2 linked regions of the Tamandua tetradactyla genome follow. The protein of the gene in region 2 interacts with the protein of the main gene of each other region in a biochemical or structural test. Links are inferred from orthologs where the notes say so. Each region holds a gene or a part of one and is shown on either strand. Other genes may lie near its edges. The genes, in order: CD72 and SEMA4D.

Region 1 (15,246 bases), about 50 Mb from region 2:
GGGCTAGGCTTCTGAGCAGGCAGCAGGCTGGCTAGAAGTGCTGAGCATGGGTCAGCCTTTGCCTGGTCACTGCCTGGGCAGAGTGAGGGAATGCTGGAGGGAGATGATCTTCAGATCTGCAGGCCACGGGTTAGGGGAGAAAGGCACAGGCTCTTGTTGGCATGCGTATCTGGGAAAGTAAAGCATCAGTGAGCTCTGCAGGTGACTGTCATGGAGAATACTTATCCAGCTTACCCTCCCTTCAGTTCCAGGTCTTACCTGTCCCTCTCACTTCCCAGCACTGCCCCACACAAGCAGGCCAAGCTCTTAGAGGCCATGAAGTGACTGTCATTCCCAGGACCAAGTTCTCCCTCTGACCACTGGCCCCTGCTCTGAGTCCCTCTCCCTGCAGACTCCCCAAGCTGTGTCCCCATCTCTCAGACTTACGCAGCTCAGTGCAATGAGTAGTCCTCATCTGGATACCTGAAAGCTGCCATCTCACAGATGCAGGGAAGAAGAGATACACATCTCTCTGGCTTTACTCTTGGCCACCCTTCCTTTTCTGCCTTAGCACATCTTGAGTGTTGCTTGTCCGTCCTGACCAGTGGTGAAATAGAACTGGATAAGCTCCAGACCCCTCCTATCACATCCTCCCTTCTGTGCCCTTGCCCTCCATATAACCTAACCCCAATCTTAAGTCCCAAATGCCTAGACACCTGCCACGTCTGGGCTGGTTCAGGCACAGATGGCTGGACTGCAACCAGAAGAGGCTTAAGGAGCAGGAGAGGGAAATATCACTCAAGGTCTTAAAGCTGAAAATTCCAGTTAGAGTACATAGGAGGTGACCCCTTTTCAGGGTCCCTAGGGTTGATCCTCTGGAAGTGCCCCCACTGCTCCCTTTCTTGCTTCCCTGGAGCAGTTGTAATGCCCCAAGTGGTCCCGACTGAGAAAATACCTCAGTTTGTGTCTGTCAAGGCTAGGGAAGTTAAATTAGGGCACCAGGGTTCTTCATCAGTTGTGAAGACCTGATCTAAAGTGAAGCTCAATCCTTAGTTTCTCTCAGAAAAAGAAGACATGGGTCCCAATCTAGTAATTATTTAAAAAAAAGAAAAGTATAGGCCAAGGACTGCTAGGTATTGAGGATAGAATAGGGAACAAAAATTCCCTCGAGTTAATAATCAAATAGTAGAAACAGGCAAATAGGTAATTACAATGTTGATTTGTGAAAGATTTTTGGGCCTGGGGCCTCAGACATTACTATGTCCTTATGACAGGATATGGAGTTGAAAATGCCCTTCCTAACAAACTTACCTAAAGTATGATGGATCATCGGTCCACCCCCAGATGTCTTTCAGCTTGAGGCCAACCCAGTATGAATCACTTACATCTTCACGTGAAATCACCAGACTTAAGGAGCTGTAGTAAGAACTCTGAGGGAAGAGTCAGAGCAGAGGTGTGTGGGAAGTGCTGAGAAGTAAGGGAGAAAAGAGCACCCTAGGGAGACCTATGGCTTCAACAACACGGCTGTGCCCATCATCAGTGTAGGATATCTGCTTGTCAGGGGCTTTGAGTGACACCCTGCAAATGCAGTCTCAGTCTTTAGTTCACCTTCCAGCTGGGGAAGAATTTCTGCCAGCTTTTGGGAAGGAGCCTTATGAGGCTGTTTTGGCCACAGGGAACTAATTCTCCTGATTCAGCCCCCCAGGTATAGGAACTTTCTGCCTAAGAGACCAGAGAGTAGAAAACCCCAGAAAGCTGGGATGAGAAACAGGCTAAAGTAGGGATGATTCATGCTTCAACTCTCATGCCACCTCTCATCAGTTAGTAGAGGCCACTTTCAGGGATAGAGGATTGTGGCCATCAATATCTGTCATGGAAAAGGAATAGGAAGCCTTGGCAGGCATGCCATGTGTGCACTGCCATTCCTGGCTAAGTGAGGGAAAACGTTTCCCTAACAGCACCCATTACAGTCTTCAGGTAAGGGTATTCTTACTGTATAATAATGAGACCCATCTTTGAATTGGGCCAGGTCAGAGGACAGAGATTTACAATGATTTTGGCTCTCCTCCCAATTTCTCCGGGTAGTTGTCAGGTAAAAGCAGCTTTTCTTGTTCAGTATCCATCCCATGGGACAGCAAGTTTCTAAAAAACATAAAGAGTGTGACAACACGGTCCAGACTCAGTCCCAAGAGGGCGATCTCAATGCTGTTTGGGGTTGAAAATGACTATACAGCAATCTGGTTGCTAACAGTATTCCTCTAAGTCTAATTTCAGCACCTTCACTGATTCCTAGTCTTTGAAATTTTCAATCTTTCTTCTGCCTCTCCTGGAAATGCCACACCTGTGTATACTTCGTAAAAGGCTTTAACATTCAACATTACTCCTTAACAATCTGGGAGATTTCTTTTAACAGGGCTGGTGTTACTATCCTGGACTCCCTCTTATTGCTCCGTAGCCTCTCATTCATCTCATTAGCACCCTAAAGCATTTCCCACTGCTTATTCAAAGCCTTCCCTGGCTCCTCAATCCACTAACCACCTCCTTCCCTTTCCACTCTTTCACAAGCAGACGACCTTGGTTCCTGTTTTTGCAGAAATTGTCAGATACATAATATGATCTCTTTCCATTTCCCTTCTCTCCATCTCAAAAATGTTCTCTTCTCTGTTCTTCTCCGGACAGGCCATAAAAAAACACACCTTCTTTCATTTTAAGCACAGCCTCACTTTGACCTGTGAGCCTGATCCCCTCCACCCCCACAACGCTTCAGGCCATCGGTCCTATCTATCGCCACCACTCAAACCATTCCCTCTCCACCAGCTCCCTCTCCTCTGTCTACGTTTTCTCAATTCCCCCACCAAGTTATCCCCTTGAGCTTCTGTCCTACCGCAACTTCAAAAAGAAGTTAGGTGTGGCTAGATCAAAGAGGGTAAGGGAATAAGTGGTATGCTGGGAGGGATTTGGGAAGTCTTGGTAAGGATTTTCTTTATTTTTATATTATGAGAAGAAAGTCAATGTAAGATTTCACATAGAGGAGTTTTGTTCAGTAGCTATATCCCAAGTGCCTGCGCACGGGGCTTGACATGTCATATAGAGTCCATAACTGCTTATGTGATTAATGAACCGGGATGACATGTTCTTAACTGAGATAATATGATCAGGTTTTTCTTTTTAAAAGATGATCTTGGCTGCAATATGAAGAATGGATGGGAAGGGAGGGAGGTATTTAGAGAAAACATTCAGAAAGCTGTTGCAGTCATCCATGCAAGAGATGGGGAGGGGTAAAAATGCAAATGTATATATAGATTTGATGGTGGAAAATGGAGGGAACTCCTCTCCTCTCTGATGGAGACTGAGGCATAAGGGGGAAAGGGGGGGGGGGAAGTAGTAGGATAATAAGTCATTAGAGTGAGCAAACTGACCACCGCAAGGGAGGCCAGGCAGTGCTGAGACCCCAGATGAGGTTGGGGAGTAGCGTTTTGGTGGCACCAAGCAGAACGATTTCACAACTTGTCAACACCTGGTGAGGGCATGAGCAAGGTAAGCAGTCGGGTTCATCCAGGGTTGAGATTTTGCCAGTCAGATGCACCAAAAAGACAATGGAACCAAAGAGTGGTTGAAGTGATGGGTCCCAGTAATCCAAGACGGACAGGGGAAGTGAAAGCAGGAGGGAGCTGGCGGAGAGGGAGGACACAGGGGAGTCAGCAAGTTGGAGGCCCCAGTGAGGTCAAAGAAATGTAGAGAAAGCCTGGAAACGTGGGCAGTTGTGATCAGTGTGGAAGTCTAAAAGTGTCCTTTCAGTGAGAGCAGTTTCAGGTGGTAAGGACTGGGGTGCAGCTGTAGAAAGGGTGTCAGCACTGGTATGGAAGTCGGGGGTCATACAAGATAAGGAAGTTAAGAACTCAGGGCTGGGGGTGTCTGCATATAATCTTACTGGTGCTTCACCACAAGCAAGATCAAGCCTAACCCCAACCATAGATAACCAGTTCATAAACATTCCCGTCCCTTTAGGTCTGGCATCCTGCCTAGAATGTCAGCCTGCTTTGGCACACTCTCCCCTGTAAGTATCTCTCTACCCCATTCCCACATACAGGCTGGACTCCTGCTTTCAAAATGGATGCTTTCAAAATGGGCCACAGTACTTGCCACCCACCTCACTGTGCATGCCACCCGTGCGTGAGAACTTCAGCTGCCTTGCACTACCACCAGCTGCACTTCATCTGTCAGTAATTCTTAACCTTTTGGAGAGAAGGGGTCTCAGATTTTGGAGAACCTCATTAAAGCTATGGACCCTTTCTTTGGAAAAATGTGTAAACAACCAATTTCACATCCAAATTCAGGGAGTTCACAGATCCTTGACATGTAAAGCCAGATGAGTTTACCATGCTGCTTTGGACAGTGTGATATGGATTGCTGGCTGCCACCCTCCTTCTCCCTCCATGTGGTCTTCCTAGAGGCACCATGTAGCTTCATCCTTCTCCCTGTTGGCTAAAGCTGCACAGCTCATGTCAGCCACTACTCTGGTTCACTCCCCACTTCCTGATCAACTCAACGCCCTGTGATAGATAGGACTAGTGTCCCCTTGCTTCAATACATCCCTCCCAGCAGACCCTTCCCATCTCTCCTCTCTCCAGAGCAGATACCTGGTGAGGGACATCTGAAGTAGGGTTTCAGAATGTCATGTGTGCTGCTTAGCCTCTGCTCCAAGTTGTTCCTTTGCCCCTCCTCACGTCGCAAAATCTCCTCTGTCTTCTCCCTGTTGGACTGGCAGACCTGTAACTGCCCTTCTGCAGCCTGGTGACTCCCTTGTTCTGCCTGTAATGCTTCCTGACTCTGGGCCAGCTTCTTCTGGAACTCCTGTAGATCCTGTTTCCTCTGCCCCAGCTCAGTTATCTTTAGGTAGAGCTGCTTCCGCAGGCTGCTGTTAGTGCCTTCCAGAACCCTGTTGACCTGCTGAAGCTGCTGAGATACTTGCAGATCTGTTGGCCACAGAGAGTAATTTGGAGGGCATTTCCAGCTGCGCCCCAGTATCCTGAGACTTCAGCATCCACTCTTTTTTTTTTTTTTTAACTTCTTGTAACTTATTGCACAACAGGCTGAAATATAAGATTTGACTGCCTAAAGTTTAAGGAGGTACTGGATTAGGTAAGGATCCTTTAGGCAGACACAAGTGCTCTAAGCCAGACCTGGCTAGAAACCAGACCAAAGGCTAAGGAGGACAAGGACGGACGTGATGGTAACGACTATGGGCCCTGCTGAGGAAGGGTGGCTGTTGGGGAGTTTAGGGAATAAGTTGTTTGGAAGTGAGTGGGCAATGGGGGTGGAGGGATGGGGGATGAAAGAGCAGCCAGTACTCACAGCGCACTCCCAGGCAGATGGAGGCCACCCCTAAGAGCAGGCAGGTGAGGAGCAGGCCCAGAAGGAAGTATTGCATGCCGGCTGCACAGCCTTAGGAAGACAGTGGAAGGAGGGCAGTCAGTCCCAGGAAGTTACACAGTGAAGGGCTGGCAGGTGGGGGGCATTCATGAAGAAAGAGTATCCCTAACAGGAGGGGTGCAGGGTTGATGAGGGAGGAGTGTGGTGGTTTTTGTGCGCCTGTGGGAATATTTCACAGGCAGGGGAGGGATTGGGAACCCTTCCCCCCTGCCCCAGGAATCCCTCAGAATAAGAGCTGGGGATTGTTGCTGATAAAGAGAATTGAGGGGCATTATCTGGTAGGAGGAGGCACGAAGCCTCAGACTAGCGGGTTTTGGGGCCATCGTCTGCTGGGGGTGGGGGTAGGGGACGGTGTCCAGCCTGGATCCACATGTCTAAATGATAGACATGAGGATGGGCGTAAGGGGACAAGGGAACAGGGTCACCATGTTACAGGGGTGGTGCTAAGGGTTGCTCCCTGGGCTCGCTCCCGAGGTCATACCTGCACACTATGGGGCCCAGCACTTTCCCAGCCCGGACAGAACAGGCATCAGCGCCTTCCCCCCCCCACCCCCACCCCCCGACTCTTTCCCTGGGACTCAGAGTCTGCGAAGTGGGGAAATGTTCCCGCAGCGATCGGGCCTTCGGCGGCCTCACCCCCAAGTACTCGCGCGCGAGGCCAGCAGCAGGTCACGGGCGCGCGGGGTGGGGAGGGCGTGATACTCACCCGGGAGATTCCGCCCGGCAACAGGTGACGTCATCGAGCTCCAAGCCTTAGTTGGCTGCTCTGATTTAACCCCTGCTGAAGGAGACCAGCTGCAATTTGTAGATGCGAAACACCAGAGAGGGACCTTTCTTCCGTTCCTCTTCTCCCCTCACTACCACCATTACGCTGAGACCGCAGTGTGTCCTGTGTTGCACTCTATGAATCTTCTGGGACACCTCTGTCACCCTCAGGAGTTCTTCATCTCCCTGGGGACTCTCATCTCCCTGGGGACTCTCATCTCTCGATTGGGGCTCAACTGTGTTTTCCCCGGGGTCCCCCTCATCTCCCTACTGCGTGTCCCTTGATCTTTCCCTCAGGGATCCCCGTATCTCCACACCACCACCCTCTCTCTGAGGTTGCTCTCCTCCCGCTCCGGTTCCCTTTCATCTCTCTACTGTGACTCACAGCAGGGCCACGCCATCACTCCCCACATCCCTCATCTCCCCACTGGGGTCTCCCTCCTAGCCCCTTGGATCTTTATTCTCTGCCTGGTTCTTATCCAGAACTGCCTTATCCAGTTCTTATTCTCATCTTTCCTAAGACTTCCTTCCCTTTCCCGGAAGGGTATCACCTTCCCAAGAATCCTGTGGGAATTCCCAGCCCAAGACACAGTCCCCCACAAGCACACATCCCCTGGGCTCCCCATACCTGCTTTGTCCCCTAGTCCGTAGGGCTCCAAGCTCGGAGGCCCCACTGGGGCTGAGGGCACTTGTACATTCTCATAGGTGATTTCCCCATCTTCATCAGCTCCTGGGTCTGGAAAGGAGACAGGCCGGGCTCAGGGGGGTGGAGTCTGTGGGGTGGGGACGGGGTCATAAACGAGGATGGGGATACAGACAGAATCAAGGAGATGCCTCGTCCACCCTTACCCTGTCCTAACCGGCTGGAGACGTTCTTCTGCAGGGGAGCCTTCACAAACCGCAGGTCTGCATAGGTGATGGCTTCAGCCATGGTCCTGAATGCTTCCACTCCCTGCCTTGTCCTTTGTCCCCAAGCCTCCTTTGCCACTCTCCTCTCTGTCCCTTCACACTTGTAGGCTATGTGTTTCTGCTGTGGCTGCTCAGCTTGGCACTTTACCCAATGCCTTCCAGTCACAAAAGAGGAAGGTGTGAGCAAGCCTCAGACAGATGGGTTCAGTGAAGCAATGGTATGTCTGGGCCGGGGCCAGAGGGGCTGGGGAGGGGAAACTGGGCCCAGAGCATGGAGCAGAGGATGGGCCTGTCCCAGGCCCCCTGTCATCTGTCCCTGCATCCTGCCTGTGTTCCCTCTTCGTGCATCCTAGACCCACTTTGGTGATGCTGAGCTCCAAATAGCTCTCCTTCTGATTGTCTGCCCTGATCTACCCCAGCCTCCCCTCCTGGCTGCACTGCCTGCTGGGACCTATGATTTATAGTCTCTTGTGCCCAAATAATCCCAGAGAATATCCCCAGTCATTGCCTGGGGTGTGGGGGGAGGGGGGGAACCTTGTCTTTTTCCCACCAGTGCATCTCTTCCCAGAAAGAGACTCCTTTGTGTGGTGGATTCCCTCATCAACTTGGGGACTCTGGGGGCTCCCTCCCTGCTGTAGCCCTGTAGAACCTCCCAGATCACACACATACACAGGGCTGCTGTCACGGAAAAGCCTTCCCCGGGAATGTGGCAGCCCGTCCCAGATACAGAACACCAGGGACCAAATGCTTCTCTTCTGACGGCGTCCCCAGTCCCCCATCAGGTCTTTGCTGCCCTACTGTGGTTGGTCAGCCTCATCCTTTTCCCAGCCTGCCCCTGCAGCCTTGTGTCATCCTCTGTGTCCCTACATCTGAACTCGTGCAGTACCCAACAGGCAGAGCCTGGGAGGCAGAGGCTCAGGAGTGGGCCTGGGCTGGGGGTGAGGATGAAAAAAACAACCACAGGGACCTCAGCACCTGCAGCAGTACTGCTCGTGTCCCTCTGGAAAAGCTTGTGGTCGCATTGCCTTCTTCTCGTACACCCTCGTGGGAGAGCAAGGAAAAAAGTTTCCTGCAGTTTCTTAAAGGTGAGGCAAAGAAAGGAAGCAGGGCGGGATGCTGGGCATGCAGACTCTGGACTAAGCAAGGATATTTTCTTGGTTTGGTTTTAGTTTCCTCCTTATTTTCCTAGTAAAGTACTTGCCGGAAAAAAAAAAATCCAGCGTTGCCTCCTCACACCGTGGAGAGGATGCGGTGGCTAAGAGGCCTCATAGGTGCTGAGGGCCCAGCTGATGGAGGAGAGAGGGAAAGCCAGGGAGGGGAGAAGGGGTGTCAAGCAGTGGTGCCGAGGTGCTCCCTAACATTATTAAGAGAGCGTGCCCCATTCCAGGGAACCCCAACAGGGCCTCCTTCTGGGGGTTGGAAAGAACTCTGGGACAAGACGGCGGTGTGGAGGTGGGGAAAAAATACCCACCCCAGCGGATGACATCTGCCCCCTCAAAAACCCCTTCTGCAGCTGTGGGGAGAAAAAGGAAGGGGGAAGAGGTCCTAATGGCACGCTAACAGCTCATACTGTATGAGTGGTGGTGTGTGGCTTGGCGCTGCAAGGGGTCCTGTGGGTCTGTCCGGAGAGCTGCCCAGCAGCCCCGCCCCGCCCTGGGGAAAGTGCCCATGGGGACAGAAGCACACATTTGTCGCCTGAGAAATGTGTCTGAAGGAGAGGCAGGGGTGTGCCTGTGTGCGCAAGTGTGCCCCGCGCAGTGCCAGCTCTTTGCGGTCTGGTAGGAGTGCCTGTGCTAGGTGAGCAGCTGCGTCACAGCCTATCTGGAGGGTTAAACCTGCAGAATTCTGGGGCCCGAGGGGTGCTTTTGAGAGATGTTCTTTTCTTCTGGGGCAGGGAATGACAGCCATTTTAAGAAAAGTCTTAAAAGGTCATGGCCACAGGTTCTACAAGTATTTCCTTTTTAAGGCTCACTGTTTCCTAAGGTGTCAGTGCAGCTGTTAACGGTCCCTGCTTGATTAAGATTTCCAGCAACCCCCCCACTTCCACCCCGCACCCTCTCCCCATCAGAGCCGCCCCCAGATAACAGAGGCTGTGTGCTGGTGACTCCCTGGGGACCTCAGGGACACATGAGAGTGAGTGGGAGTGCATAGAGCAGCTGCAGCAGGGACAGGTGGGGACAGTCTTCTTGTGTCTGTGGGTTATGGAGGTGGGGGCAGGGGCAGGCAGCTTGTGTGTGAATCCGTTGAAAGAACACTTGCAGGAATCCCCTAAACATAATGAATGTCCCCGTTTTCAAAACAGATGCACAGGTGACCATAATCTGGATGCCAGATAAAATGCCAAAACAGAGTTCCCAGTATGCACTGATTAAAGGAGCCAGTGGGCATGCGGCCTGCCTTGACTCTTCAACAGGTTTAAGAAGTGGGTACTCGGATGAAACTGGGTGAGCTTAATTACACACCCAGCCCCAGAAGAAGGAGCTTGCCTTGGATGTCTCGATCAGGCTCAGCCTATCTTTCTCTTCTTTTTAGTCCTTTAGGTGATGATTACCTGTCTATTCATGATGTTTGGCATTCCCTTCTGTCTTAGGTCACTTTATAGCCTGCTTTGTGAATAGGGTATATGTGAAAGCAGAGTTCGTCACCTTCCGCCTATGTGCCGTGTGGGATCTTTGCAATATTGACATTCACGTGACCTTCCAGGCTGGTCATCAGAAAGGACACCTGTAATTTCCTACTGTCCAAATATCAGGAACCCCTGGGGGTGGTTAAGAGTTGAAGTTCAGTGCTGCATACCTTAGCTTTCCCAGGACCATAATATCATCTGAGACCCTAGGATACAAACACCAAAGCCGCTTCTTGCCCTTTCCTGGACTCTTCACTGCTTGTTACAAGGAATGCGTTGTTACAGTTAGGATTGGTTGCATGTGACAGAAAGCCAAAATAATAATGGCCTAAACCTCAGAGATTATTTCTCTTTCTTGCAAAAGAAGCATGAGTTTAGACATTGCTACCTATTATAACTTGCCAAACTCCAACCAAAACCATTCCAGCCAATCCTAAAGAACACCTAGGGCAATATATAAGATTCCACAAGTGTTCCAGGCACTAGGGTAACTTTCCAGAAACCTACAACCTCCAAATGGGCCTCTGACCAGATAAATATTGAAACCTAAAGGGCCCAACCTCTCTAAAACATCAGCTAATTCCATCTCTCTATCCCATATTATTGACAGCCCCTTCCAAAATGAAAAAAATTAGAATGGCTATAACCCAAATACCCCTAAAGAGTGGGATAGAAAGATCAAAGGTGATGGAAGAGTTATACAGAGAAGGTAGGGTTTAGAAACGAATATGATTGCTGAAACATTAAACTGATATTTCTTTTAGTCTCCAGTATCTTAGAGCAGCTAGAAGTAAAAACCTAAAATTGTGGAATTGTAACCCACACCAAACTCTGAAATCTTTTCTACAACGAATTGTAGTTCTGTGGTTTGAAACTGACTGCTTTTATATATATATGTTATTTTTCACAAAAAAGAGAAATAAAAGTTGATTGTGATGATAAAAAAAAAGGAATGGGTTGTTAAGGTACACAAGAGGAGGGCATCAGGAAAGAATTTGCAACATGGGTAAGGGTTCATCTACATAAACTTTGGTGAAGTCCAGCCAACATCAGGAAGTCAGGGAAGTCTCCTTAATCTCTGAAAATCTTCACTACTTTACCCCCTGACCTACTGACAGGGTGTAGTAGGCAGAATAATGGCCTCCCAAAGATGTGCATACTGAAATCCCTGGTAAACATGTTACCTACATGGCAGAACGCAGGTGTGGTTATGTTAAGGGCCGTGAGATGCGGAGCTCATCCTGTTTTAGGCCCATCTGATACATTAGTTCTTGAAAGGGGAGAATCTTTCCTGGCTGTGGGAAGAGAGAGACTCGATGATGGAAGAAGGTCAGAGAGATGCAACACGAGAAGGCCTCAACTAACCCGCTGCTCCCTTTGAGAATGGAAGAAGGGGCCCTGAACCAAGGAACGCAGTCGGCTTCTAGAAGCTGGAAAAGGCAAGGAAGCAAATTTTCCCCTAAACCCTCCAGAAAAGAATGTAACCCTGCAGACACCTTGATTGTAGTTCAGTGAGATCCACGTTGGGCTTCTGACCTACACACGCTGTAAGGGAGTAAATTCTTCTTGGTTAAGCCACTAAGTTTGCAGTAATTTTCTATAGCAGCAATAGAAAACTAATATACAATGTTTTGACAAGTTCCCTGAACTGTGGAGGAAACATGATGTAATGGAAAGAACACAATACTGGGAGTAAAGAAACCAGCCTTATCACGGTATGTGACTTAAGACAAGTCACAATTTCCAAGGTTTTCATCTTTAAAATATGCAATCATTCAGGTAATGTCTGATATCGGTCGATGGTGTGATTGCCGGAAACATAATAGGTCTAGACTGTGGCAAAGGCATCTCTAAATGTCCGTAACCATAGCTTCAGATTCAGGAGGGAGAGAAAGAGGGGCCCCTGCAACTTTTTGAATTCCTGAAGTCAGAGAGTGCTGCTAGGTCTCCAGTGACTTGCCTCCGGGCTCTCCTTGGTCCCGTCTTGAATGATGACATGGAAAACACATTTGTATTTACTGATGGCACAAAGCTAAAAAGAAGAGCAAATATCTGAAAGGCAAACTCAAGATTCGAATGTCTGCAGCAGGGCAAAAAGATGACTCCAGACCACAGAATGAAATTTAAGAAGAATGAAGTGTAATAATTTAATAAATGACAATGGCTAGCATTTATTGAAAAATGAAATTAGGGGTTAAAAGAAAAGTACCTAAGCATAGGATGGAGGGAGTCCTGTCCTAACAATAGTTTATGTAGAAAAAATTTGAGGGTGGGGGACATTTTAGAGCCCAACCCACTTAATTTACAAATTAGGAAGCTAGGTTCAGTGGACTATAAACTTATTATGAACTAAACGCATAGACTAAGAAAGCGTGTGGAAAAACTACAGCTCCTTTACCAAAAATGTCAGACACTGTACCAGCCACAATTACAGCCTCTTTGAAGGGGGTGAACCCCTGCAGATGACGCCATCCTATACCCCAGGATTTGCATTATGTTGCCCCAAACTCTCAGACCTCAGCTGATTGAAATAACCAAGTGGGGAAAAGGGACCCAAGGCTGGCCGGTCTGTAGACTAGCCTGTGGTCTAGGGCATGGCCTGGCCTGGAAATCAGGGCTAATGTGAGCTTACAGAAGTTTCACACTCAGGAATTTAAATGGGAAAAGGTGGAAACGATCACTCAGCAATGGAGCTGAAACTGAAAGGGAGGCACAGAAGGAGCCTCTTTCTGCCTAGCGAGTCCAGTCCTCTCTACCTTTGCAAGTGTGCCTGGCTGCTTGTCTCTCAGTCAATAGGGAGTGATTCTCCTGGCAGGGTTCATTGAACCTGGGAAGACAGAGTCGCTGCTGCAGTGTGGGGGTGGGAGGACTGCAGCTGCCCACCAGCGGATTCATGGGCACCTCCTTTGCTCTATGCTCAGACATACATCCGTGAATGGGCAACTGTGTCCACCACGGCCTGAAAAGGGCACCACCATCAGGCCTCAGAGGCCTTGGAAGTGGGTTGAGGGAAGTCTACACTGGACAGTGGAAGAGGGAAACGATGACTGTCAACCAGTAGCACCTTAGAATCGACCACAGACAGCAGCAGGGAGTGTAGCTTGTCCCACTAGCCTTCCTTTTGCAAATTTTTATTCTTCCTCTTCCTCCTTCTTTTTTAAGCAATTGTGATGGGTCACTGCCTTGAAGAAGCAGTGATAGGGCAGCGTGAACATAATGAGCAGCAGGAGGGGGTTGGAGCAATGAATGGATTGTGCGGGCGCTGTCAGTGCCACAGTTGGGACCCCTCAGGCTTTGTACTGCGGTGCCCATCAGCCCAGCTGCCAACTGCCTGCGCCATGTCTCTATAGCCTGGAGGTTTGCCCTTGGAAGCTGAGCTCTTCCCCTACACGTGGCAGGCCAGGGGTCCTGGAGAATCAGTGCCCCCAAGAGCAGCTCTGAGTGACTAGAGGGAGCTGGTGTATAAGTGTGCCAGCACCCTCCCCTTCAGATGGGGTAACTCTGAGGGAGCATGTTCTGTATTAGCTCTCAGAGGTCCCCCCTGATTTTTTTTTATATTTTTATTTTGATGTGCAAATTAAAAAATGTTTTTGCATGAGGAAGAACAAAGGAATGTCAACACTGCAGGGTGCTGAAAGTAGATGGTAATAAATATTTTAAAACTTTAACTTACGTGTGAGACTAAAGCAAAAAAAATGTTTATTTGGTACAAAATCTGTATTTTGACAAGTGCATTTCCTTATATAGCTTGTGTGGACAGCTTATTTGAACATATAAGTGCATGGAACCTTGAGTGGGACATGAGATTTTGTAGGTTTGTCCAGAGTGATACCTCGATAGACCCCAGAAGGATTTGAAGAGTGAATAAAAAGGTATTTGCAAAGTCCCCTTGGGGTAATGGTGAGAAAGGGAGAAAATTCAACTTCCCAAGTGGAGAATTCTTGATATCCTCACAAGCAGTGTGGACAACCAAAGTAATAGGCTGAGCCCCCAATCTTGGGTTTGTTCATATGAAACTTAACCGCACAAAGGATAGGTTAAGCCTACTTAAATTTAGGCCTAAGAGTCACTCCCAAGAGAACCTTTTTTGTTCCTCAGATGGGGCCTCTCTCTCTAGCCAACATGACAAGCAACTCACCACCCTCCACCTGTCTATGTGGGACATGACTCCCAGGGGTGTGGACCTTCCTGGCAACGTGAGACAGAAATCCTAGAATGAGCTGAGACTCAGCATCTAGGGATTGAGAAAACCTTTTAGACCAAATGGGGGAAAACAAACAGGGAAAGAGCAAAATGAGACAAAATTAAGTGTCAATGGCTGAGAGATTCCAAACAGAGTCGAGAGGTTATCCTGGAAGTTATTCTTACGCATTAAGTAGATAACACCTTGTTAGTCAAGATGTAGTGGAGAGGCTGGAGGGAACTGCCTGAAAATATAGAGCTGTGTTCCAGTAGCCATGCTTTTTGAAGATGATTGTATAATGATATAGCTTTCACAATGTGACTGTGTAATTGTGAAAACCATCTGTCTGATGCTCCTTTTACCTATCTTATCAACAGATGAGTAAACATATGGATTAAAAATAAGTAAACAGAAGTTGGAAGGGCAGCGGCCAAGATGGCGGCTTAGCAAACTGTGTGATTTAGTTCGTCTTCCAGAACAACTACTAAACAACCAGAAACAGTACAGAACAGCCCCTGGGGTCACATCAGTGACCTGACACACAGCATACCCCAGTCTGGACCAGCTGGACCAGCTGTGAGCCCCCCAGAGAGGAAGGAAAGGGACTTTACCAGCAGCAGAGGCTGAGCACAACCAAACACCAATTGTAGAATTAATTCACAAATTCTGACTACTAAAAATAGGCCCCCAGCTCAGCTGAACCTCATCAAAGCAGTGGTCGCTCATTTTTACCCTGGCGCCAAGGGGGCGGGGCTGATGGAAAAAGAAAAAAAAAAGGAAACAAAGGTTTTTGTGGCTATGTTTCTACAAAGGCTTGACTGCCTTTGGATACAGTGGCAGGACTTCTCAGGCTGCAACTGCCACAGGCATAGGCAGAAACAAGCTCATTTGAGAGCTTGTCTGGAGCCTGTGCCTTCCCCAGGGGAGGGGTGAAGCCCAACTCAGGTGGAATCCCTCCCTCAAGGAATTCAGACACCAGGGCTTGGTCATTTGAAGCAATTAAAACCAGCCTACAACCTCTCCTCTGTCTCCACCACGCCCCCAGCAGGGAGAGTCTGCCAAAGTTAAAGGTACTGCATCATCTTATGCTTGTGGGACCTGCAGGCAGACAAGCACCACATACTGAGCAGGATAAGAAAAACAGAGCCCAGAGACTTCACAGGAAAGTCTTTCAACCTGCTGGAACTCACCCTCAGGGAAAACCGACGCAGGTGACACTTTCCTCCTGACAGGAGGACAGTTTGATCTGGGAAAATCCGGCTGGGGTCCATAATACCTAAGTGGGCCCCCCTAAGGGTGGGGGGGGAGGGGGAGGCACCATACAAGTAGGGCAAGAAACAAGAAAACAAGA
Region 2 (14,895 bases):
AGGCCCACTGTGTCCCTCTTGGGACCCCAGCACCCACCGCACCAGTGTACCTGCTTCACTTTCGCCTTCCTTGTATACTCTGCTCCACCGTGTTCCTCTTGGGACCCCAGCACCCACCGCACCAGTGTACCTGCTCCACTTTCGCCTTCCTTGTATACTCTGCTCCACCGTGTCCCTCCTGGGACCCCAGCACCCACCGCACCAGTGTACCTGCTTCACTTTCGCCTTCCTTGTATACTCTGCTCCACCGTGTCCCTCTTGGGACCCCAGCACCCACCGCACCAGTGTACCTGCTTCACTTTCGCCTTCCTTGTATACTCTGCTCCACCGTGTCCCTCTTGGGACCCCAGCACCCACCGTAACAGTGTACCTGCTCCACTTCTGTCTTCCTTGTACTCTGCTCAGCTGTTCTCTCAGCTGGGAGGGAAATCACTCTGCCCTGGAGCCTTGCAAACTCATCTTTCCAGGTTTGCCTTCCGCTCCATCCTCAGGTCACCGCTCCCAGGTCCCCACCTGCACCCCTACGTCTCAGCTGTCACAGGTCACCATAATAGTGATTATTACGCCTGAGCAGCAGGACTCTCATCTGTGGACTCCGAGATCAAGTAGAGTCACCAGCACATCGTACAAACTCAACAGAAGCTTCCGGAAGGACACTGGCATGAAGTGGAATCCCTTCCACTTGTCACAATATCCCACCCATTTCTTCTCACCAGTTTGGTATCTCTGGCAATTTTAAGCCTTCTCTTCCACTTCGTCCATTCTCCCCTCTCTGGTAGTTCCTCACCTCCAGGTACAAACCTTAAAAACAGACCTTCTCTCTACCCCAATGGGCCATTTACTCCATGTCTCAAAATTCTCAAAAAGGTTATCCACTCCTGCCATCCCAAATCCACCTCCTTCCCTTCTCTCTTAAATTCACTCTGTTAAGTTTGGCCTCACTGCTTTGGTCAAGGTCGATCCAATGCCAAACCAATGGTCAATTCTCACTCCTCCTTACGTGACCTCTCAGCCAACTGGTCCTTCCTCCTTGATGCGAGATCTGCATGGGGCCTCCAGGACAACCGCTGAGTCCCCTGGGTTTTCTCCTACTTCACTGGCCACATCTTCTTGGACTCCTGTCCCGTCTTTGTCCTTGGACCTCTTCTCATCTCCCTCTACTCCAACTCCCTTGCTGCTCTCCTACTGACAGTTTTAAAAATATCACCTCCATACAGACAACTCTCAAGTTTATATTCCCAACCCAGACCTCTCTTCCCAAACCCAGACTCATTTATCCAACCAACTCCTCACCATCTCTACTTGGGAGTCAACCCAGCTATCCATGTACTATTCTGAAAGCCATGCTCCAAAACTTCTCCATCCACAAACTGCCCCATTGCAAAGGGATAGTGACTCCATCCTTCCAGGTTGCCTAAACCACAAATCTTGGCATCATCCTGGGCTCCTCTATGGCTCTAACACTTGTCATCAAACCTGTAAGCAAGTCCTGTTTGCTCTATCTTCAGAATATCCTGGGATCTGACCACTCCTCCCCACTTGAACTGCTGCTCCTCCTCTCCACAGCCCACTCTGCTCCAGCTGCACCCGTCTCCTGGATCTCCTTGCCTGTGCCAGGCTGAAGTTCCCTCAGCCCGGGTGACCCCATGGTACACCCCACACCTCCTCCATGTCACTGGCTCAGGAAGGCCTGTCCTGATCACCTGGTCTCAAAGTTCAAAGCTGCTGGCTCCCTTAAGAGTCTGGACCCCATACTTTCTTTCTCCAGAGCACTATCACCTCCCAACTCATGGCATAAGCTTATGTATCCCATCCCCCATTGGCCTTCCATCAACTTCTACTTGATTTGAAGCTCCAAGTGGGAGTGCCATCGGTCTCCCAGTCCCGTGCACAGAGACAGTGCTCTCTGAACACTGGCGGTGGGAAGCGATGAACTTCTGTGGAGCTGCCCACTTACGAGTGGGGAGGGCCTTTACAGGTTACCAGATTCCTTCCAATCACGAACCCAAGATGGGGGGATAACCGGATACAAACTCACAGAGGGCAGAGAATGCCAAGAACTGGGACTGCCCCCAACAGCCAGCTTCTAGTGGGATGGGTTCCCCACATCTTCTTGGAGAAGGATCTAAAGGATGAATGGACCTGGTTCGAACGGCAAAGAGGACAACTAACATTTATGGGCAGGCTGTTCACCGACAACACGGCCATTAAATACTCTTCACGACCAACCGGCGACCCAATTGCAGAGTGAGGCCACCAGCTTCTCGGGCAGTAACATCAGGGCCCTGCTGTCCCCAGTCTGCAAATACTTTTTTTTTTTAATTTTTATTAATAAAACCAATCAACATACAATATGAACATTCTTTTTTTCATCACACAGTTGTATATTCATCATCATGATCATTTCTTAGAACATTTGCATCAATTCATAAAAAGAAAACAGAAAAAAAATTCATACATACCATGCCCCTTACTGCTCCCCTTCATTGATCACTAGCATTTCAATCTACTAAATTTATTTGTCCCCAGTCTGGGCCAGAAGCAAACACTAACAAATGACAACAAGAAACAAATGCCCAAACGCACAGTGAGAACAAATGGGACCAGTCGGGCCTTTGTACAGCACAGACTTAACGAGACTCAACTAACAAGCTCCAGCAGGGGCGTGCTCCTACATCCACACACAGCCCAAACATTTCACAAGTCAAGACAGCCAAGCAAAGGTACCCACATCTTGGATCAAAGCAAATTATGCTCGGGATATTAAAATACCTCTAATTTCTTGCAGAAGGACAAACAGGAAAATCAAAGCAAAGAAGAAAAAGTAGAATTCCAGGCAACTTTCACTTTCTAGTTTCCTGACTTCTGTGCTATCTGTATCACTGTTTTTTTGTTTTTTTTTTGGGGGGGGGGGGTATTTACTGTAGGCTCTACTAAATGAAAGGAGAAAAGTAACAAAGCAACCGCTGAAAATGAATGAAACTCCCAGTGCTAAGCTATCCAACTGGCAATGGGAATTGTGCCCAGAACAGACTCTGAGCCCATCTTTGCCTTTCATTTCTGTTTCCAAGTCTCAACGAGGGAACATCTTTCCCCACTCGAAATAAGGGCTGTGTCTGAGCTGAGAGGCACCCCCATTCCCCGCCCCACCCCCCCATCCCCCACAACATCAGGCACAGACTACCTCCCGTTAACCCTTCTGTGGCTGGCATATACTGTTATTTAAGCTTTCAGACTTTCCATCTTCCTGCTTGATGGGGGTGAGGGTGGTGGGTGTGCTGACTTCTGTCTCTTCCTGGCCCACAAAACACACATTCCGTGGGCCAGTTAACTAGTGATTCGCTGATTGTCTCATTTAAGCCAAACATCTGTTATTAAGTTGTGCAGGATATGAATTCCTACTATTCAAATTCTATCTTAAAGGCCCTAGGAGACAAAATCATCTCATGGAAATGCCCTTTGAAAATATTAGTTTTATCATTACCAAAAATAATTATAATTATTGCAAAATCAACCATGGAGAAGTAAATGGGGTGGGGGGGTTGTGAAAGTTGCTCCTCCCTGCCTTCCCCTCCCCTCCCCCACTCCTGCCCCCCCCACTCCTGCTCCCCTCCCCCAATGCACACTCACACACACATCCCCCTCCCACCTCTACTGCTAACTGCTGACTTGATTTTGCTCAGGGCTGGGTCCCTGGTTTCTCTCGCAGTACCTGGTATACAACAGGCATTTAATATTTAGCTGCTGCATAAATGCAACGTCCTGCCAAATCTTTTTTCCTACGTCCAAATAGGCTTTTGTGCAAACCTCCGAACCTTGATCCCTACGGTATCGAGGAGTGATGTTCCCACTTAATGTGTCTGTACATCTTTTAAAGCAAACCTCTGAGTTATTTCAGACCATGAAGCATCTTATGGTATGTTTCTTGGAAGGGAATTGTGTTTATTAGATTAGGTTATTGCAAAATCCTCTTTATGATGGAGAATTTTGAAAGTTCACAGAAGTGGTCCAAACAGAATAATCACCTCCCAGGTACCCACACCCAGACCCTCCAACACCCAGGAACGGACACTCACACCCAACCACACCCCCCCACCGCCCCACTCCGTGCTCATCTGAAGCAAATCCCAAACATCTCGTCAACTCCTCTGCAAATACTTCGATATCTATGAATAAAGGATGAGGATCATTATACTGTAGCTATGATATTAGTATTATGGAATCCCATAAGTTCTTAAAATCATCACTAATTTAACAAATTTCCAATGGTCTCAAAAATACCATACATTTTTAAAAGCAATGGTTCTTGGATCAAATGCTGCTCTGACTGTGAGCTCTCTTATCAAGCATTGCCCAAATTCTGCATCCCTAATGTACCATATAGAAGCAATTCTTGGGTGGGGGGGCGGGCTGGAGGAGGAGGAAGAGTTGGGGGGGGGATGAGGGCACGTGTGCAGTCGCTGCTTTCCCAGGCCGTATCTAGGAATCTAGACTGAAGAACGGGCAGGTCACACTGGCGGCTCGTGTGGGCAGCTGCATTGGGGAGGGGGCCATGGCCTCAGCCCTGCAGTCTGGCCCCCACAAGACCGGCCCCTCAGGCGGGGGTGGGCTGTTCCCTGGCCGTAAGCGCCTTGTGGTGCACTACCAGGTAAACTGAAATGCAGGAGAATCAGGCCAGGTGGGAAGTGAACCATCATCTTATCTCAAAGGCCACCTTAACTGAACTGCCTGTAGACTCCATCCCAGTTTCCAGGAGAGGCCCACTTGTGTACCAATCAGCAGCTACTTCCTTCTAATAAATCTCCACTTTCCCCCCACGGCCTGGGCACCTCACAGGTAGGGAGGCTGGCTACGGCTACGAGTTAGGCCCAGTCCCCAGGAAACCTCTCGCTGCCCAGCTCTTGGGGCATCTTGCATCTGAGGTGACACTCCAGACCCAGGATGCCCAGGAGAGACCAAGGACCTGCATGGGCAACACCACAGGAGCCAGACGGCACCAGACTCATGGCCAAGGTGGCAGGAGACTATGCCACTTCCACTCAGCTGCCTTCCTTCTGATCGTCTATCCTTCCTTCTGCAATCAAGAAGTAAAGAGAAGTGCCCTGGCCCCCAATTGGGAAGTGCAAAGTCTGCAGCAGCCTTTCTCCCAGACCGACGGCAAGTTCATTTTCAGCCACCCTGCAGCCACCTGTTCTCCTGGATGGCCTGAGGGCTGGGGACTTACAGCACGGGGCCTGAAGAAGAGGTCCACTTCGCTGTCCCACAGCTTCCCTCTTAAGAGTTCTTCTAATCCAGCAAATTCTTATTATGAGTTGCTATAAATTAAAAACAACAACTGGGGAGCAGTTTCACTTCGATAGCCAGCAAAGACAGCATGGCAGGTCTCACCTGGGCATACCCAGAGGTGAGGGGCACAGGCCCTAACTGACAATTGCGGAGCTGTGACCCAGGTCCCCCAAGGCAGGAGGAATCTCTGCAGCCACCCCACACCCACCGACTCTGCCCCCAGTATCAGAAAGCAACCCAGAGGGAGGGGCCAGAGGACTCAGCCTGTCCACCGCAGGAGCACAGCGGATGGAAAACCATTCATCTTTGCAATGCATTATCGATCTAGTCCGACGTGCTGGATCCAGCAAGCAGCCCTTCCCTCCTCACTTAAAAGTCAGCCATCAAGCACCGGGGTGGGGAAGACAGCTCGGAGCAGATCAGCCTCCCACAACCCACCAGACAGACAAGGATCAATCGACAAGGATCAGGAGATGATGTCACTAAAGGACAGCTCCCTTCTTCCAAAGGCACCAGACAGCAAGGGCGGGTGCTGCCAAGCCAGTAATTCACAGGCACGAGGGGAGGACCCCTTGGCACAGACCTGGACCACTACCCGGCCACTGGGGAGCACATCAGGGGGTTCCAAAGACTCCAGTTTTCAACAGGTTGTAGGTGCCACAGTCAGGAGCCTGGACTGGCTTAAGAGTTGGTAGATGGGGGAATTAAACAGCCCATTTTCAGAGGTCAGATGCCTCCAGTGCCAGCCTGGCATTCCTTCAGCACGGTGCAAGGGAGGGACCCCTGGACAGGGCTGCCTCCGGTAACTGTGGCTTCTTTACTCTTCTTGATCTGTCTGGCCTCTTGGAGATACAACAGATAATTCTGATTAGTCTGACCGTTTGGCCTTCGTGGAGGACAACCTTTGCCCAAGAAACATCTTGGGTACATCCTCCACCATCCCATCATTACTGACAACCGGGAAGGCATCTGTCTTTGAGTGATGACACGGGTGCTGGTGGGCTAGGAACAAGCCTGCCCTATTCTCCTCCATGGGCTGTTATCTGGGACATAATGTGGTCCAACCGTTAACAGGACAATCGGGGCTTTATCACCACTCTACCAGGAACCTGGCTCAGGCCATGTTTTTCTGTTAGACATTTCCAAACCACACAAGCATCCAGGACAGCCGGGCACTGCCCCCTCCCCTTCCCCCCACCCCCACCCCAGGCCTGGGGCAAGTATAAAACCACAGGGACATTTCACCCCCAGAGAAGGGACCTTCCTTTCCTCTTGCACCCAGTGGATTCACAGGGACTCAAAACAGAGGGAGGGACACTAGGCCACAGGCCCTAAATCCCGGCCCAGCTGGCGTGGGTGCCCCACCTACCCACGGGCCTGAAATCTGCTCTGTAGAAAGTGGAGGATTTTCAATCGCAAGAGCCAAGCAACTTAAGCCGGCCAGAGCTTCAGGAAGCAGGGACCCACAGCCTCCCACCACCACCCTGTGGCAACAGGCTTTTCAATGAACTGCCCACCTCCCGAATCCCATCGCCCCACCCACCTCGCCCCCAAACATTAAAGAAAATAAATAAAAAGGAAACCCACGAGCTCAAATATCCTTTACATGTTTTTACTGGCAAAACCCCAGTAAATTCAGCTCCCCGCAGCTAAGCAGGCTGCAGCAACAGGTGCAGCCCGGAGCCCAGACCGGGGATTCGCCTCTGCTTTTCTAAAATAATACCCGCCGAAACCCGGAGAAAACCGAGCCCCGCTGGGGGTGCGGCCACGCCAGCGACACCTAAGGCGGCTGTGGCCCGCGACCTGCCCCCACCTGTCTGAGTGCGCCACTGCGGGCCCCGCGTCACCCGGGCCTCGGCCTCCTCCGACCCCGACCGGAGCGGGCAGGGTTCCCCACCGCGGCGGCACCGGGCTGCCCGAGGGCGCGGCGGCACCCAGGGGGCCGGGGCCTGGCCGCCCGGGCGCGCCGGCTGCTCCCGGGGGCCGGCTCTCGAGCGCGCCACCCCCCGGGGGCCACCTGCGCGCGCCAGGGCGGGGGGCGGGGACCGGGGAGAGGGGCCCCGACGCGCGCCCCCCGCGCACCTGCCCCGACCAAGCCCCCGCCAAGCCCGCCCGGCCTGGCGCTTACCTGCGAGCGGCGCCCCCGCGGCCGGGCGGCTCCTGGCGGCGGCGGAATCGGTGCTCGCGCCCCGGCCGCGGCCAGCTCCCGCGCCAGGAATGGCGGCGACGGCGGCGGCGACGGCCCGGGACGCCCGGCTCGGGAGAGTCGGGGCGGCGGCGGCGGCGGCGGCGGCGGCGGGGGATGCTGCGGCGCGGGGAAGGAGGGCGCCGGGGCCGGCGCGGGGACGGAGGGCGCGGAGGAGGGCGCGCGGCAGGCTCCTCCCCACCCCCGCCCCTTTCCTCCCTCGCCTCCCCCCTCCCCTTCCCCCTCCTCCTCCTCCCCTCCTCCTCCTCCCCTCGCCTTCCCCTTCTCTCCTCCTCCTCCTCCCGCTCTCTCTCCTTTCCCCTCCTCTTTCTTCCTCCCCCTTCCCGCTCCCTCTCCCTGGCCCTCTCCGCTTCGCTCCACACCTTGTCCCCGCCCGCCAGCTCCTACCTCTTCCCCTTCCCCTCCCCGTCCTTCCCCTGGCCGGGCTCTGGCGGTCTCTGTTGGATCCAGCCTGGGTTCCCACGCACCGCTTCTCATCCCCACCTCTCAACGGACCAGGTTACCCCTTTAGGGGCCCCGACCTGGCCCCACCCTTCCCAGGACCCCGACTCTCCACCTTTTTCTCCACTCCCAAGACCTGGTGCCAGTTCTCCTGGTGACCTGACCTGCCCGGAGGGGCAAAGCCTGTGGACAACCAGAATACCTTTCCTCCTTGGCTTCTAAGTACAGCTGAATGGGGCTAGAGGACCGGGCCGCCGGCCCCCGCCCCATTTTCCTTGAGTGAGGCATCCGACGGCCTCCGGTCTTGGCTTTTCTGCAGCCCGTCTAGGCCTCCATGCCAACTGTCTGCTAAATGTGCTACTCGGCCATTGTTTTCCACACTAGCCAGCAAAGGGTTTCCAGGGTGGTCCTGGACTAGACATGGCTGTGATCACCCCACGGGTTGGAGCCATGGGGGTCCCTGAGAAGATGAAGTGCCTCCAGGCCACCTCCCTCCTGGCTAAGAAGCAGCTGGCTGGGCTGGTGGGCCCTCTAAGGAACTCAGCCCTGGGAGAGGGCACAGTTCCCAATTCAAGCACCCAAGATTTCCTCCAAGTGGGAAGAATCAGACTGGCAGTAGCTCCCAGTACTGCAGGACGCCTGCAGATGACCCCGGGGCTCCTTTCCCAAGAACCACAGCCCACTGAAGCCAGAACTTCAGAGGATTTTAAAAAATGAAGCAATTTCAAAATGACCAGTTAAGTGTCCAAGAGACATGGAACTCTCCTTGGGAGCCTCCTGCCTGCATGAGGGGCCCAGCAGGGGCCCAGTGGAAGCTAAGATGGCGAAGCCAGTGCCCCAGGGTGCAAGGCGGGGATGAGGTCATGACTCTAGACTCCCTCCCTCCAGCCAAAGAGTTTGGATCTGGAATCTGGAAATGGCTCTGCCACCTCCAAGGTGACCTCGGGCCTCAGCCTCCCAACCGTCCCCAGCATGCTGACAGAGAGGGCCCCTCCTCTAGGGTTACCCAAGCAGCACAGCAAAGCACTCTCCGCCTGATCAGCGTCAGTGCCCAGGACTGCTAAAGGAAAAACATGGAGGAGATGTCCCTTTCCAAACTCTCCTCCAGTTGTAGAAGTCCATGGATTTATGTTTCCCATCTCATTTAAATTAAAATTGAACAGGAGCAGAGTAGGGTAGGGTCCCAAGAATGAACTTAGATTCAATAAATGCAGGTATTCCAGAGATAACTGGCATGGCTTCCTTCATCCTTCACTAATCAGAAGCATCTAGAACACAGAGCCCTCTCTAGGTGTCTAAGGATAGCAGACAGCATGCCTTGGAAGTGCAGTTGGGACGCTGGGAGCCTTCAACCTGGAAAACCCGTGTATGGAGCACAAGACAGAGGAATTCAAATATTTGCAAAACTGTCCAGGAAAAAAAAAAAGGATTGCTCTCTGGGGTTATGAAGGTCAGAATGAGGACAGATGCGTGGAAATTAGATTAGAAAGCACAGGAGCCGGCCCCTGGTTACTAGGGGGGCCACTGCAGGGAAACCACCAGAAGGATTCTGCAGCAAGGAGGAGGCTCGTCTCCATGGCTGCTGAAGCCTCTGCCAGCTTTTATAGCCATGCTTTCTTTAATATGGTATAAAACAATCTGCTGCATGTCCCACGGCTCTTCCAGTGGCCTTTGCAGAGAGGGAGGGTAGCTCTGAGCAAAGAAGAGAGGTCAGTGTGACTGACCTGGCTGTGATCATTGCTAAATCTCTCTAAGCCTGTTTCCTGACTGGTGCAAGGGGGACGAGAAGAAATTAAATGAGAAAGCACACTTCCTACCACCCCCAGCCCATGGAAGGGAGACAGAAATGTGGGCTCCTTTCCCGGTTCCCTTCTTTCAAGCATGTCAGGCGTGATCACCCAGCTCACACATGATTACCCAGTTTGTCTTTGTGTTTATTGTTGTTTTACATTTTATGATATTACGGAACACTTTAAACAAATGCACACAAATAGAAAGATGAACTGCCATGCTTGGGGTCGGGAGGGGTTGCCAATCTTGTTTCATCTCTGACCCACTTGCTTTGCCCCTCCCCAGTATTAATCAGAAGCACATCAAAGACCGCCTATCAACCTACTTGTCTTCAAGTTTTCCCAGAAATGCTGAGTGTTTGGCTGCTGAGGTCATATTCTGCATTTCCCACTCAATAGTTACATCATATGGACATGGATGAACACACACACTGAGGAAGATGATATTTAAATCCCAGATGAAAAAGAAACTCAGGTTTCGCAGTTTAGGTGGCACAGATAGCATTCTGCTCTAACATAAGAGACTCCCGATTTCCCTACTTCGGGACCTGGCTATGCAATGGAGCTTATGCATGAAGGTGGCGGCTGGGAGCAGTTTGAAGCTTGTCCCGGTGGGGAATCCTTAAGCCGTGGAGGAAATGTTCTTAATAAGGGCTCAAGGTGTTGTACTTCACCTGTGACAGAAGCTTCAGTCCCCGAGACCAGCTCACAGGCCCCGGGAGCAGGGTTTCACACAGTGAGCTGGCAACGGGAATTGAGTAGCTACCCCTGGAGAAATGTCCCCCCATTCCCACTCCCCCCCCCCCAAAAAAAAGGCTGAGGTCATGTCTGGGGAGACTATGGCCACTTCTGGGCCTGCCAGCGTCCTCCAAGAGAAGTCTGGGAAAGTGCCTTTTAATGTGACCACAAAGTAGTTCTCAGATGTGGAGGAATGCCTCTCCGGTTATTTGCCTGCTGATGGCCTTACACACACCCTGTCACCCCCCTACCCTGTCACCATCCTTCTCTCCCCACCCCCCACCCCCCAATGCCTGTAAACGCCTTAAGGAGCCTGGCCGGCCCCTCTAAATTAAAGAGTCCTCACTGGCCTCCCTGCACCCCCTCGTTATCTGAGCTGCCTCTTCACCTGGAAAAGGAAGCTGCCAAGGATTCTGAGGCTTCTGGGCTCTCCAGTGCCCCAGGACCCTTCCCTGTCATTGCTGCCTCAGGACCCCCCACAGGACTTGGAGGGCTTTTTACTGTAAAGCCGCCTTTGGAAATTTAAGATTGCACGGGCAGCAGGATCTCAACGAGGGCCTGGCTGAGACGATGGCATTGTTCTTTGCGCCCCGTGCAGTATTTTAGCTATCAAACTGCTAAGAACCTACTGAATCTGCTTGAGGGGTATAATCTAAGCCTCATGCACACTCCCATCTCAGCACTTTCCATGTCTCCAAGAGCGCCGCTCGGTTCATCAAGCCACCCCCTGTGACACTGACGGACTGTAAATATTCCAGACAAGGGGCCGGTGAAGGAAGCTGCCACCACCCCACTTCAAATCCGGGGAGAGTCTAAATCAACCACGGATGGAACATGAGTGCTCATTTGCTACCCCTACCCTATTGTTAGCATAACTAGAGCCAGCATGCCCTATACCGACCTATACCCGGCAATGCCTTCCTGGTTCCCTACCGACTGATGCCACCAGGTGCCAGAGCCGTGGGACATTCCTGTATCTCCTTGCCTGTTGGTGAAAGCCCACTCACGCTTTCAGGCTGGGCCCAGCAAGTATCACTTTCTCTTGGAGGTGTCCCCTGCTTCCGACCGCTACCCACACACCCCAGGCAGAGCTGAGTGTTGCCTGGCGACTTTGGTGTCATATAAACATCTCTCAATAATAACGCACCAGGTCAAACTATAATTGTTCCTTTATATTTTTCTCTTCACTGGTCTCCATTTTAGGTCTTCATGAGCCTGGTGACGTCTGTAAACCATTTTCCAGAAAGAAGCTTTTGCACACATACAATGAAATGCATAATTAAAAAAGGAAACCGATTTTATTGAAATCTGTCTATCATAATATTTTTAAATCTCTGACACATTTGCTTCACTATTTACACAGTAAATATTACGATCCAGCAGCAGGTCTAATAACTAGCAATTTTAAAGTAGTCATAAGCATACACGTTACTTTTAGATCTGCAACAACCAAAATGTAATGTGAAAATGTTTGCAGTTTCTACTGGGACAAAGGATACACATATTGCTAATATGATGGTACTTTGTTGCCTTCACGGATTCTTGAAAGAAATCCTTAACTTCTAAGGAAATTTACTGGAAAAATGTATTTTCCCCCATCCATTCCATCTGGATGGATTCTCCGAAGTCTACGCAGATTAAGAACTCCTGTTTTAAGGGAGAGGGAATTTGAATTCCCAGCATTCAAGTTGCAAGTGGCAGAAATTTAGGTCAAACTCTTGGCTCACATATGCCTGAGGGTGGTCCAGCTTCAGGTACAGCTGGATCCTGGAGCCCAAACATGGTTCCTCCTTCCTTCTTTCTGATGCTATGTCCTTCTCTCTCTCTGTTTGGCTCTGTTTCTCTCTGGGTGTTGGACTCAGTCTCTCCCACTACAAGATCATGGGCAGCCTCAATCTAAAATGATGACAATGACTATTTCTTTCCATATTGCAAGTCTCATGGAAGGACTTTGATTGGGTCTCATGCCCATTCACTCTGGACAGGCATGGGAACCTCCACTGGGCAGACCTGGTCACATGCCAATGCCTGCAGGAGGGTGAGATCAGTAATCTCTGCCCAGAACCACAGAACTGGGTGAGGAGCACTCTCCTAATGGGCACTTGGATGCTGAACCAACAAGAACAACATGTCCAGAAGTGTTAGAGCCAGAGGGCTAACGAGTGATCACAGACTATTAATTAGGGGACAGGTTTGCTACTGTAATAAATAAATCCAAAATGCAATCATTTAAGCAAGATCGAAGTTTATTCATCTCTCAAATAACATTGCCCGAGGTAGACAAATGGATCAGAACTAGGAGGTGGCTTTGCATCCTCCATTTGGGGGTTATCATGCATTCTGCAGGACAGGGAATGAAACCAGGAAGAACAGTCTCCTTGGATTTAAAAGCAAGGGCAGGAAGTAGCACTGACACTTCTGTCATGTGCCATTGGCCAGAACTTACCATGTAGACACAAGTGAGGCTTGGAAATGCAGTTGTTAGATGAGTGACTATGTATCCAGCTAAACATCTAATATATTAAGAAAGGGCAAAATAGATATTGATGAGCAATTAGCAGACTGCCAGATACACTCAGTGTAATTAGCGTTTTAATAAATGTAAGTGGGAAACTCCTCCCCTACTAAAATGTTTAAAATAGAAACCACCAAGTGTTGATTGGGCTGTAGAGCAACTGGAACTCTCATACATTGCTAGTGCGAGTGTTAAATGGCACCATAGCTTTGAAAAACGATTTAGCAGCACTACTAAAGTTAAACGTACATCTACCCTATGACCCAGCAATTCCTTTCCTGGGCATATACCCAATAAAAATAAGTGCTTATGTTCATCAAGTGATATATCCAAGAATGTTCCTAGCAGCTTTATATGTGATAGCCCCAATTTAGAAACAGTGCGAGTTTCCATGAACAGTAGAAAGGCAGATAATCAGTGGTGTAGTCATGGAGATGAGGAAACAGGCTCAGGTCAGCCAAGTTTATTATTCACCGATTGTGTAAGTTCCTAGATAAGAGTTGGACCCTGGCTTGCAGTTTTCTTGGCAGTTGCCTTTCTGCACATTTTAGTGTTTTGTTTTTTTTACAACTCCCAGTGTAGCACTGACAGGCCAGGATCAATACTTATGTGCAGATAAGTCAGAAGGTTTTATACAAACGCAAGCAATAATGCTGACCATGCATTGAGTGTGTTGTCAGTCCTGGGAACTGCTAACCTGCTCGTTTTTGGTCCTTCCACATGCCGGCGCCTCAGATGAGCTGAGGGGTTCTCATACCTTCTGTGCCACCAGTTCACTTTTTGGCAGGGTCTGGACCTTGGGACCTGATGAGGAGAGGACCCAGGGATCCCAACTCCCCTTTGTATATTGAGGGACTTGGAGCATGTAAAAGAGCATTGGGTTCCTCAAAGAGAAAAAACGGAGGCCTCAGTGCTGTCATGATGAACCCTTGATTTTCTCTTCTCTCTGTCTGAATCACTCATCAGTGGATTTTACTCACGTAAATCTTCTGGGGATGAGGCAACCTTGCTCTCATTTCATCATTGAGCTTCACTTATTTTCAGTTTGAGTGAGTGTCTGCAGCATTTGCCTTTACTTTTCATTCACAGTCCTTTCTATTCCATACTGAAAGGCTGAATGCCTCTGTGTGATTCTCCCACACAACAGAAGAAATCAAAGGCTTTCTATGAAAACTCCACAGCCCACCAACGATAGTAGCTACCTGCTTATCACTATATGGAAAAAATATATCATGGCTCAGCCTCACTGAAAAATTCTATTCTGAGAACTCTGAAATTGTGAGTAGCGATGGGAAGTATTTTCAAATCAGGCCAGTGGATGCACATCATCAGGCAGTCAACCCTGCCCCTTCCCACCCCTGCTAATGGACTGTCCACAAGTTCTCGGAAGCCTCAGAGGACAGGATGTGGCCCCTGCACAGCCGGCATTCCTTGTTCACTTGTGAAGCTCTTAAGCACCTTATCTTGTTCAAAAGAACCAAAAGCATTTTCAGAGGAGAATGTCTGCAGAGATGTAGCCTTATCCAAAAGGAAAGTACACATTTCTATTATTGAGGCAAAATGCAAGAGCACACCTAAGAGATACTAGTGTAAACCTTGGTTTCAACAGAATGCCCTTTACAATGCAGAACTGCATATTTTAGTGTTTTAAAATTATTATGCAAATGTTTCAAAAGTAGTCAAATCACACAGAAGTAAGGAAACTAAGACGTGACCACCCTCCTAGATAATCAATCTTCCCACTTCTTCTTCCAGGCCTTTTTAGTCCCCTGAAACAGACCTGCATGAACTCTTTTTAAAAGGCCAAGCATCAATTAATCAATCTCTCTCTCTCTCTCATTTATTTTTAAAGTGGGATTATGTATTCAGGTCTCATTCTGCAATCTCATGAACGCCCTTTGGTTATGCGTATATATATC

What was found.
Region 1: the proteins of SEMA4D (region 2) and CD72 form a complex in vitro, tested with the Homo sapiens proteins (2 studies listed by BioGRID and IntAct). The link is inferred for Tamandua tetradactyla from reciprocal best matches to the Homo sapiens genes SEMA4D and CD72.

The regions. Positions count from the first base shown.
Region 1 is NC_135328.1:60,155,681-60,170,926, reverse strand, and holds the start of CD72 (B-cell differentiation antigen CD72), read right to left. Parts: upstream 7,264-15,246; 5' UTR 7,109-7,263; coding exon 7,027-7,108; intron 6,914-7,026; coding exon 6,806-6,913; intron 6,194-6,805; coding exon 6,119-6,193; intron 5,425-6,118; coding exon 5,335-5,424; intron 4,956-5,334; coding exon 4,620-4,955; intron 2,122-4,619; coding exon 1,973-2,121; intron 1,410-1,972; coding exon 1,291-1,409; intron 577-1,290; coding exon 432-576; 3' UTR 427-431; intron 170-426; 3' UTR 1-169. UniProt on the Homo sapiens protein: Co-receptor of B cell receptor (BCR) that plays both positive and negative roles on B-cell functions. Recognizes the Sm/ribonucleoprotein (RNP) self-antigen ligand, and coligation of CD72 and BCR inhibits BCR signaling.
Region 2 is NC_135328.1:10,163,100-10,177,994, reverse strand, and holds the start of SEMA4D (semaphorin-4D), read right to left. Parts: upstream 7,493-14,895; 5' UTR 7,415-7,492; intron 1-7,414. UniProt on the Homo sapiens protein: Cell surface receptor for PLXNB1 and PLXNB2 that plays an important role in cell-cell signaling. Regulates GABAergic synapse development. Promotes the development of inhibitory synapses in a PLXNB1-dependent manner.